Callithrix jacchus: one gene and its partner. Each later gene encodes a partner of the first gene's protein in a complex. Links are inferred from orthologs where the notes say so. Each region holds a gene or a part of one and is shown on either strand. Other genes may lie near its edges.

Region 1 (4,497 bases):
TTTTGCTGTGAACCTAAAACGACTCTAAATAAAATAGTGTTTTGGGCTGGGTGCAGTGGCTCATGCCTGTAAATCCCAGCACTTTGGGAGGCCGAAACAGGTGGATCACCTGAAGTCAGAGTTCGAGACCAGCCTGGCCAATACAATAAAACCCCAACTCTACTAAAAATACAAAAATTAGCCAGGCGTGGTGGAGGGAACCTGTAATCCTAGCTACTCAGGAGGCTGAGGCAGGAGAATCACTTGAACCTGGGGGGCAGAGGTTGCAGTGAGCCAAGATCACTGACACTTCACTCCAGCCTGGATGAAAGAGCAAAACTCTGTCTTAAAAAAAAAAAAAACTATTAACACAAGTTTTTTTCAACTACAATATCCTAAATATATCTAATTTAGTTATAAACTGTCATAAGACTAGATTCTTTCAGTATGAAAAGTTACATTCTGTTCTTCATAACCACGGTACTGAGCATGCAGTGAGCATTTAATAAAAACTGAACTTTTTTCAAAAGCAGTGCTGTAGATGGCATTTTTAACCCTCTCAGAACACTCCCAAAGACTCTGCATTACAGACATAAGTTGGAATACCAACTTATGTCTTGGTATTCCAACTTATCACTTGAGGTCAGGTGTTCAAGACCAGTATGGCCAACATGACAAAACCTCGTCTCTACTAAAAATACAAAAATTCTCCAGGCATGGGGCACGTTCCTGTAATCCCAGCCACTCGGGAGGCTGAGGCAGGAGAATCGCTTGAACCTGGGATGCAGAGGTTGCAGTGAGCCGTGATGGCACCACGCACTCCAGCCTGGGCAACAGAGCAAGACTCCGTCTCAGAGGAGAGAAAAGAAAAAGAAACAAAACCTCTGAATTGTCCAGCGTGACTGTCAACATATGAACCAAATCTTTTGTCCTGATATGCACCAAGGTTGTTAAAATTCTAAGGGTCAATTAAGAGTTACATTCGAAATCTATAAAACAAGTTTTGCCTGATACCACTTCCCATCTCAACATTCTCATCAAGGTTCACCTTTACAAATAAACACCTAAGTTCAATTAAGAGAACAAGTGAGGAGGAGGTATTAACTAACATGAAAAACAGTCACTGTCCTGTATATTCTGCAGACTGTAGAACTTAATTTTCAAATAGAATACTATTCTGGCCACCAACAAAAATGCTTAAGGGAAGATTTATTAATTTTGTTTTACCTCACTGTTGTACTTCTAATGTCTCAACTATAAAAGCAGTGCATTAATAAGTGGGAAGCTATGGAAGAAGATACAGACATTGTTGGAGTATAGGCTCTTAATCACACCTATAATTCACACTACTGCTTTCCTTTCTCTCTGACCCAAGTTCTCATTAAATGACTCTAAGACTTTTCTGCATCACTGTTTTCTATAATCTGAAGCTGAGATGTGCACTGAAATAAAAACATTCTAACCAATATATTTCTCAAATTATTAATATAGTACTTGTTTAAATATTGGTATTCAAAGCTTCCCACTCATCATCTAGCTTTATCAAGGAACACACACAGGTTATACACTATGACTGCCTTGGTAGCTGCAGCTTGACTGAATCCTGGGACATCACCTCAACTTGGAAGGGACAGAACCATATCTGGTTCTCACTGGATACACATTTTCTCATGCTTTCCAGCTTAAAGACTTTACATCTTCCCAGAGGAACAATAAATGTAGGAAGACACCAGGTAGTATGCCTGTAAGGAGGATGAGTGATCAAATTAAATTCCTACTTCAAGAAATCTGAAACTTCAAAAACTTTTCCTAACAAATCACAGCTGAAAAGATTAAAAAAAAAAGGATGATTTACCCCTTCATTCTCTCTTTCCTGGAGACAGCTTCACACATTCTGAAGAGCAGTCTTAACTTAACTGAAGAGCAGTCTTAACTTACTGAAGAGCAGTCTCAACTTACTGAAGAGCAGTCTCAACTTACTGGTTAGTTGGAGGAGCGGTCAACGGTATGGCCACCTCTTCCTCCTCGTATTCTGGTCCATCCAGAGAGTCACCTTCGTCCACTGTCCCCAGACCCGCCCCCAAAGGGGGCAGGTGAGGGGGAGGAGGCAGAGGGGGAAATACACCTCCTGGTCCGAGAGTCTCAGCAGGCAACGAAGTGAGCAGCTTGGTGAGAGACATGTCTCCACTAGGTCCAGCAGCAGCAGCAGCAGCAGCAGCAGCAGCACCGGCCACGCCAGCAGCAGCACCAGCCACGCCAGCAGCAGTACCTCCGCCTGTCAGTCCGGCTCCCCCCAATGCCCCTGCCACAGACCCGGTTCCTAGGAACCCTGACCCCAAAGCGGCTCCGCCACCCAGAGTCCCAGCCACTCCGGTCTCCACCAGCCCAGGATAGGGGGCGGCTGCCACTGGCAGGGCCGCGGGTATCCTCACCCGACACACTGCGGGATAGGCACTGGAGCCCGCAGCCGCGCCGCCTCCCCCTGCTCCGGCAGTTACCGGGCCGCCTTCCTCACTGCCGGCCTCGGCCGCCATCATGTTGAAGCCCGCTCTACTCTGCCCTACACTGCCCGCCCGGGAGCCCCGGGGGCCACCAGGCCCGGGTTCCGAGCCGCCCCACCCAGGCGCGTCTCCCCTTCAGCTCCCCAGGCGGAGGAAACAACAACAAAAGGAGAGAGCCGGCCGCCGCGCCCCCTCCCAGGGCCACAGCCCAGGCTCCGGAGCTGCCTGGGTTACGGGAAGCGAAGTGGGCAAAAAACCCAACGCCTGCACAAACGCCACCCAAACCTCACTGCACACACCCACACTCACGCACACACACACGTACAGAAGCGAAAACTTCCTGACTGCACTAAAGAAGATAGGAAGCACAGGGAAAGAGGCTGAGGCGGCTATCGCTCCTTTAGACACCACCACCGCTTCTTCACCACCCCAGTTCCGGCCACCCACACCGCAGCCACCGCCGGTGCCGCTGTATACGCTGGGACCACTGCAGCCCCTTCATCCTCCACCAGGCAGATGGTGGGGAGGGACAAGAGAAAGAGGGGCTGGGTAATGAGGAAATCTACTGAACTGCTCACTACCTGGAGCTCTCAGTGAGTGAAACCGGAGAGAGAGAAAGGAAGGCGGGGCAGGGGAGGAGGGACGGAGGGAAGGAAGGGCGGAGGAGGGAGAAGGGCAGCTTGTGCGCAGGCGCGTTCCCGGAGCGGTGGCGGGGGGCCGGACCTGGAGGAAAAGGAAGAGTCCAGAGGGAAGGAAGCGGCGGGGACGCGCGGTGCGTGGTCGCGCATGATGTCCTGCTCCGGTTCGAAGCGTGTGTCGGCTCGGCTGCATCATCTGTCGGCGTGGCTGGCGACGCGCGCCTGTCTCCCGGGGCTTTGTTTGATGAGCAGGAGAAGAGGGAAGGGGTACCTGAGCTCGCGGGCGCTCAGCACTGTTAAAGCCTGAGAAACGAGAAGGGGACCGGGAGGTGGTGGAGAGGAAACGGGGGAAAGGGAAAGGAAAATGCCCAGAAACTACCGGAGGAAGAAACAGCCTTAGCCAGCAGCGCAGAAACCAGGCAAGGGTCAGGTAGCTTTGAAGATCAGGGCAGTACTATTTATGTTTTCTTTTTAGTTTCATGCTATAAATCACCGTGACTATCACACACGCACAAATAAAATAGATTCTGAAACTCAAAACGAAATAAAAGGCACCATATGAGAAGGATGGAGAATTTTGGTAGAAATGGTGGTTATGAAGTCAGATTTCTATGTATAGGCGCACGCTTTTCTTTACCAACTGTCTCATATACTTAACCTTTGCCGTTTCAAGTATGTTGGATACTAATGAACCGGGGTGGGGGGTGGGGGTGCCACAGAAAACACTCATCAATGCACCTTTGTCCTCGTCGTAATCCACAGTGCAAGCACCTTCAACAAGTCAAATGTCAAAAATGTCCCAGTTATGATTATATATCGTTTCAAAAAGTATCAATAAATTGAAAACTCATATTTAATACAATTACGGAGAAGGGTTTTGTCTTTTATACTAAAATATATACAAACTATTATATGCTTCATATAGAGGGAGCTTCCCATGGTTTGAAATTAACCGTATTGTTATTTTTAATTCTCCCACGAGTGATCCCAACCACATTGACTACCACTTAATATTGATCTTCGAGATCAATGTTTTCTCTGCTAAGGATGATTAAACCAACACTAGGGATGGCAAGTGGCTTTGATAGAAACCCAGGAAAAAGAGAAAAGACCACTAAAAGAGGTGACAAGATGCAGGCAATGGATCTTCTTTGTAAGCTTGCCTATTTACCTAGTCAATGACAACAATCTACCTTGATTAAGGAATAGTCCTGGGGCCACCATTGTGCTTATCTCTTAGGCAGTGTACCACCTGGCAGGAGGAAGATGGACCACTCACAGGAAATAGAGTTCTCAGAGTGAACTGAGGTCAGCAACATCCTAGGAATTCAGAAATGCCACCTCAGACCCGCTAAATCATAAACTGCAGCAATTCCATT
Region 2 (3,810 bases), on another chromosome or scaffold:
TTGACTGATTTGCTTTTCATTAATGTTGCGTCCATAACCAATGCCGGCAGAAGCAGGGTCGAGAAAGACACACTGAAGTTTGCTAGCAATTTGCTGACCTTGCTGTATCAAGCTATGCAGAGTCTCTCCACTGGTGTCTCCTCTCTTGTTAACCAAAATTAATGTCAGGGGGAGATGGACTAAATGATTGTCCCTCCGGCCAAGCGTGGACTCTCTACTTTTCTCTATACTTTCCACTACATAGGATAGTGATTCCTTGGAATTGTAAAGGCAGAGACAGCCGTGGGGCTGAAATGTTGGCGTCTGGAAAGAGTTCACAGGAAGCCTGACATTCCCCTCTATTGGCCTCAGGGAAAGCTCATACATTTTACCATCTATCACATACTTGTCATCATTTGTACAAAGAGCTCGAATCTCGTTGGCCAACTCTCGGGCAAGGCCATCTTTGCCCAATATAACCAAGTTGATTCTATCAATGTTGGGGTCAGAGAGTGAATTTTTCTGGTTCCGGTCAGACGGTCGGATAAACCGAGAACCAATCAAGTGCTCAATCTTAGCGTCCACACAAGCTGGGCAGCTGGGGCACGTCTCCTTTGTTGGGTGGTACACAAAATGAATGTGCTTCAGAATCAGGGCATCACGCTCTGCTTGGAGTTTCTGTAATGCTTTAAATCGCTGTTCCTCTCCCAGAACGTCCTGAATGACACCCATCTTCTCCTTGCTGGGCTTAGCATCCAGTTCCAGCTCATAAAACAATTCGGAATATTCCAGAAGCAACTCCTGAAAGTCTTCCTTTGCTTTATCTATAATTTTCTTTTGGTGTTTGCCATAAATATCCATGTATACAGATTCTTCCAGCCACTGGTAGAAATCTTCATTCATGATAAAACTACGGGCCTCTTCCCAAGGTTTTCCGGGAGTTATGAAAAGAGAGGTCTCCAGGTTTTCTTTAAATGCCCTTCGCATCTCAACTCTTTTCCTCTCGTTCCTCAACTTCTCTAAGTGGGCCTCGTACAGCTGCTCTGCAGGGACGGTATCCATTAAATCAAAGGGAATCCGTTCGTTTTCCATGTTGTCGATGTGGCTGGTGGCATCCCATGGTGTCTCTTCAAGCACAACAAACCACTTCAAGAATTCTGGCTTGGTTTCTAAGAGCTTTTTGGCTTTTATGCAGCTTAGGTGGTCTATTTCATCTAGATTAGGTATAAGAGCTTCAAAAGCTAATGGCAGGGCTGCCAGGTACAGCTTTCTCCTACGCTCGATATGCTCGTGCTTGAGGCGGTGGATGTGCTGGAGAAACAGCTTCTTGGCTTTCTGAGTCCCTTCCAGGTAGACATAGTCCTGGTATTCTGGGGAGGCCTGCATCTTTCGGTTGACACTCAACCAGTTCTCATTGTGGTTTTTCACAATGCGACTCACCAGCCACTCATACTTGTCTTTTGCTGTAGCTATCTGCTGACTCTGCTGCTTGAGAGCTTCAAAATAAGGAATGATTTTTGTCTTTCCCCGACTTTTATCAATGAGTTGCACTAAGGTGCTGAAAGCCAAGTCTACGTTTACATTGGACCTCGCTGAGGTCTCCACAACCTGGAGGTTCTTTTTGCTTAAGGCGAAAGTATGTGCATCTCTAATGTACCGCTCAACACCTTCGTCACACTTCGTCAGGACCACCACTATGGGCTTTTTCGTTTTTGCAAGCTGATTGTAGAGATTGGAGACAAACTTGAGCTGGTCATCAAAGTTCCTATTCATGCCCCTGCTAACGTCGATACCAAGAAGAAAACCATCAACCAGCAGCTTTCCATCTGGCATTTGCTTCTGCTCAAAGTCCTGCTCCAGCCCCAGCTGGTCAGTGCAAAAGTACATGAGTTTTTCAGCTGATGCGAGCTTGGTTGCAGCAGCTCTCTTAATATAGGGCTGCAGGGCCGTGCTTCGATGAGGTTGAAAAGTCTGATCATCAATAAATTCAGTCTGCTCCACAATGTGCATCTTACATTCCACACAGTCCTCCAGGGAGCGGCTAACTTCTCCCCAATAGAGGAAGTGGTCATTATTGACCACTCGCCCTCCAAAGTCACTGGTGCTGAGGACGGAGGTATGGTCCAAGTGAAACTCGTCAGCACTTGGGCGCACAAAGCGGTTGCACAAACAAGACTTTCCAATCCCACACTGGCCCTTCTCCTTCTCGGTCCCAGACAATCCCACCACACTGATGTTGTAGGTGGGAATTCGGACATCTTGCTTTCTTGCCATCATCATCGTCGACACATCCTGCCACGATCGGCCACTTCCGAGATCAGATTAGTGTTTCCAAGGGACCAGACGGCTTCCTACATTATTAGAGGGGGTGGGCTGGACATGCAGCAAAAATGCCAGCTCCTATAGTGTCAGATACCAGTATGGTCACTGTTCGCCACTTCTCATCGCCAAATAGCCAACATTTCTTCCTAGAGGACGAAAAAAAAGACAACCCATCAGCATCATAATTTTAGAACCAAATTTTAATCAACGAACTACAGTAAAAAATCAACTTTTTATTCAACAAGTATTTAGTAAACATCTCATGTGTCAGGCCTTGTGCTGGGTGAGAGCAAATAAGACTTATATCAATGTGTCCTCAGAGAGGTACAATCTAGTCCAATGGAAGAAGACATAAGTAAGCAGTTCTTTTTTGTGCTAAGTTCTAAAACAAGGGTGTGAAGGCTCCCTGGAAAAAGGGCTGATTCCAAGGTTAGGGTAGGAGAGGAACAAGATGAACCTGGAACATCTTTTTACGCAAGAAAAAATAATGGGGCATCTCACAAGGACACAGGGGCCAGCCTGAAGGGGCTCCCACTGGCCATCTCTGGGACAATTTGAGTGGCAAAATAATTAAGTATCGTAATGAATTATAAACCCGTTGCAAAAAAAAAAAAAACAAAAAAAAACAGGAACCTGGACCAGGCACGGTGGCTCACCTGAGGTCAGGAGTTCGAGATCAGCCTGGCCAACATGGTGAAACCCCATCTCTACTAAAATAAAAAAGTATCTGGGTGTGGTGACAAGCACCTGTATTCCCAGCTACTTGGGTGGCTGAGGCAGGGGAATTGCTTGAACCTGGGAGGTGAAGGTTGCAGTGAGCTGAGATCGCGTCACTGCACTCAAGCCTGGGCAATAGAGTAAGACTCTGTCAAAACAACAACAAAACATGGAAGCAACCCAAAGTATCCACCTACACATGAATGGATAAGCAAAATATGATATATACGAGCAATATAATATTATTCATGCTTTACTTTTATTTTATTTCATTTTTTGAGACAGATTCCTGCTCTGTCACCTAGGCTGGAGTGCAGTGGTGTGATCTTAGCTCACTGTAACCTCTGCCTCCCAGGTTCACGCAATTCTCCTGCTTCAGTCTCATGAGTAGTTGGGATTATAGGTATGTGCCACCATGCCCAACTAACTTTTGTATTTTTAGTAGGGACGGGGTTTCACCATGTTGCCCAGGCTAGTCTCAAATACCTGGGCTCAGGTGATCTGCCTGCTTTGGCCTCCCAAAGTGGTGGGATTACAAGTAAGAGCCGTCACGCCTAGCCTATTTAGCCTTCAAAGGGATGGAAATTCTGACAACATGGCTGAATCTTGAGCTAAGATTATGCTAAGCGAAATAAGCCAGTCATAAAAAGACAAATAGTGTATGATTCCACTTACATACAGTACTTAAGAGTAGTCAAACTCACAGAGACAGAAAGTAGAACAGTGGTTGTCAGGGGCTGGGGGGAAGGTGGGAATGAAAAGTTACTGTTTAATGGGTACAGAGTTTCAGTT

The links.
Region 2: the proteins of RASA1 (region 1) and ARHGAP35 are in contact, whole or in part, in a crystal structure (PDB 8DGQ), measured with the Homo sapiens proteins. The link is inferred for Callithrix jacchus from reciprocal best matches to the Homo sapiens genes RASA1 and ARHGAP35. Residues at the interface, in NP_002881.1 of Homo sapiens: Arg188, Arg207, Ser209, Arg211, Val217, Asn228, His229, Phe230, Arg231, Ile241, Gly242, Tyr256, Leu262, Leu263, Lys264, Lys358, Ser379, Asp380, Asn381, Ser387, Gln397, Arg398, Phe399, Lys400, Met411, Gly412, Gly413, Arg414, His425, Tyr426; in NP_004482.4 of Homo sapiens: Ser1085, Asp1086, Tyr1087, Ala1088, Glu1089, Pro1090, Met1091, Asp1092, Ala1093, Val1094, Val1095, Arg1098, Glu1100, Asn1103, Ile1104, Tyr1105, Ser1106, Val1107, Pro1108, His1109.

The regions. Positions count from the first base shown.
Region 1 is NC_133503.1:123,601,803-123,606,299, forward strand, and holds the start of RASA1 (ras GTPase-activating protein 1), read right to left. Parts: upstream 3,106-4,497; 5' UTR 2,517-3,105; coding exon 1,960-2,516; exon of another isoform or gene 1,873-1,959; coding exon of another isoform or gene 1,835-1,872; intron 1-1,834. UniProt on the Homo sapiens protein: Inhibitory regulator of the Ras-cyclic AMP pathway. Stimulates the GTPase of normal but not oncogenic Ras p21; this stimulation may be further increased in the presence of NCK1.
Region 2 is NC_133523.1:40,889,112-40,892,921, reverse strand, and holds part of ARHGAP35 (rho GTPase-activating protein 35), read right to left. Parts: intron 2,448-3,810; 5' UTR 2,260-2,447; coding exon 1-2,259.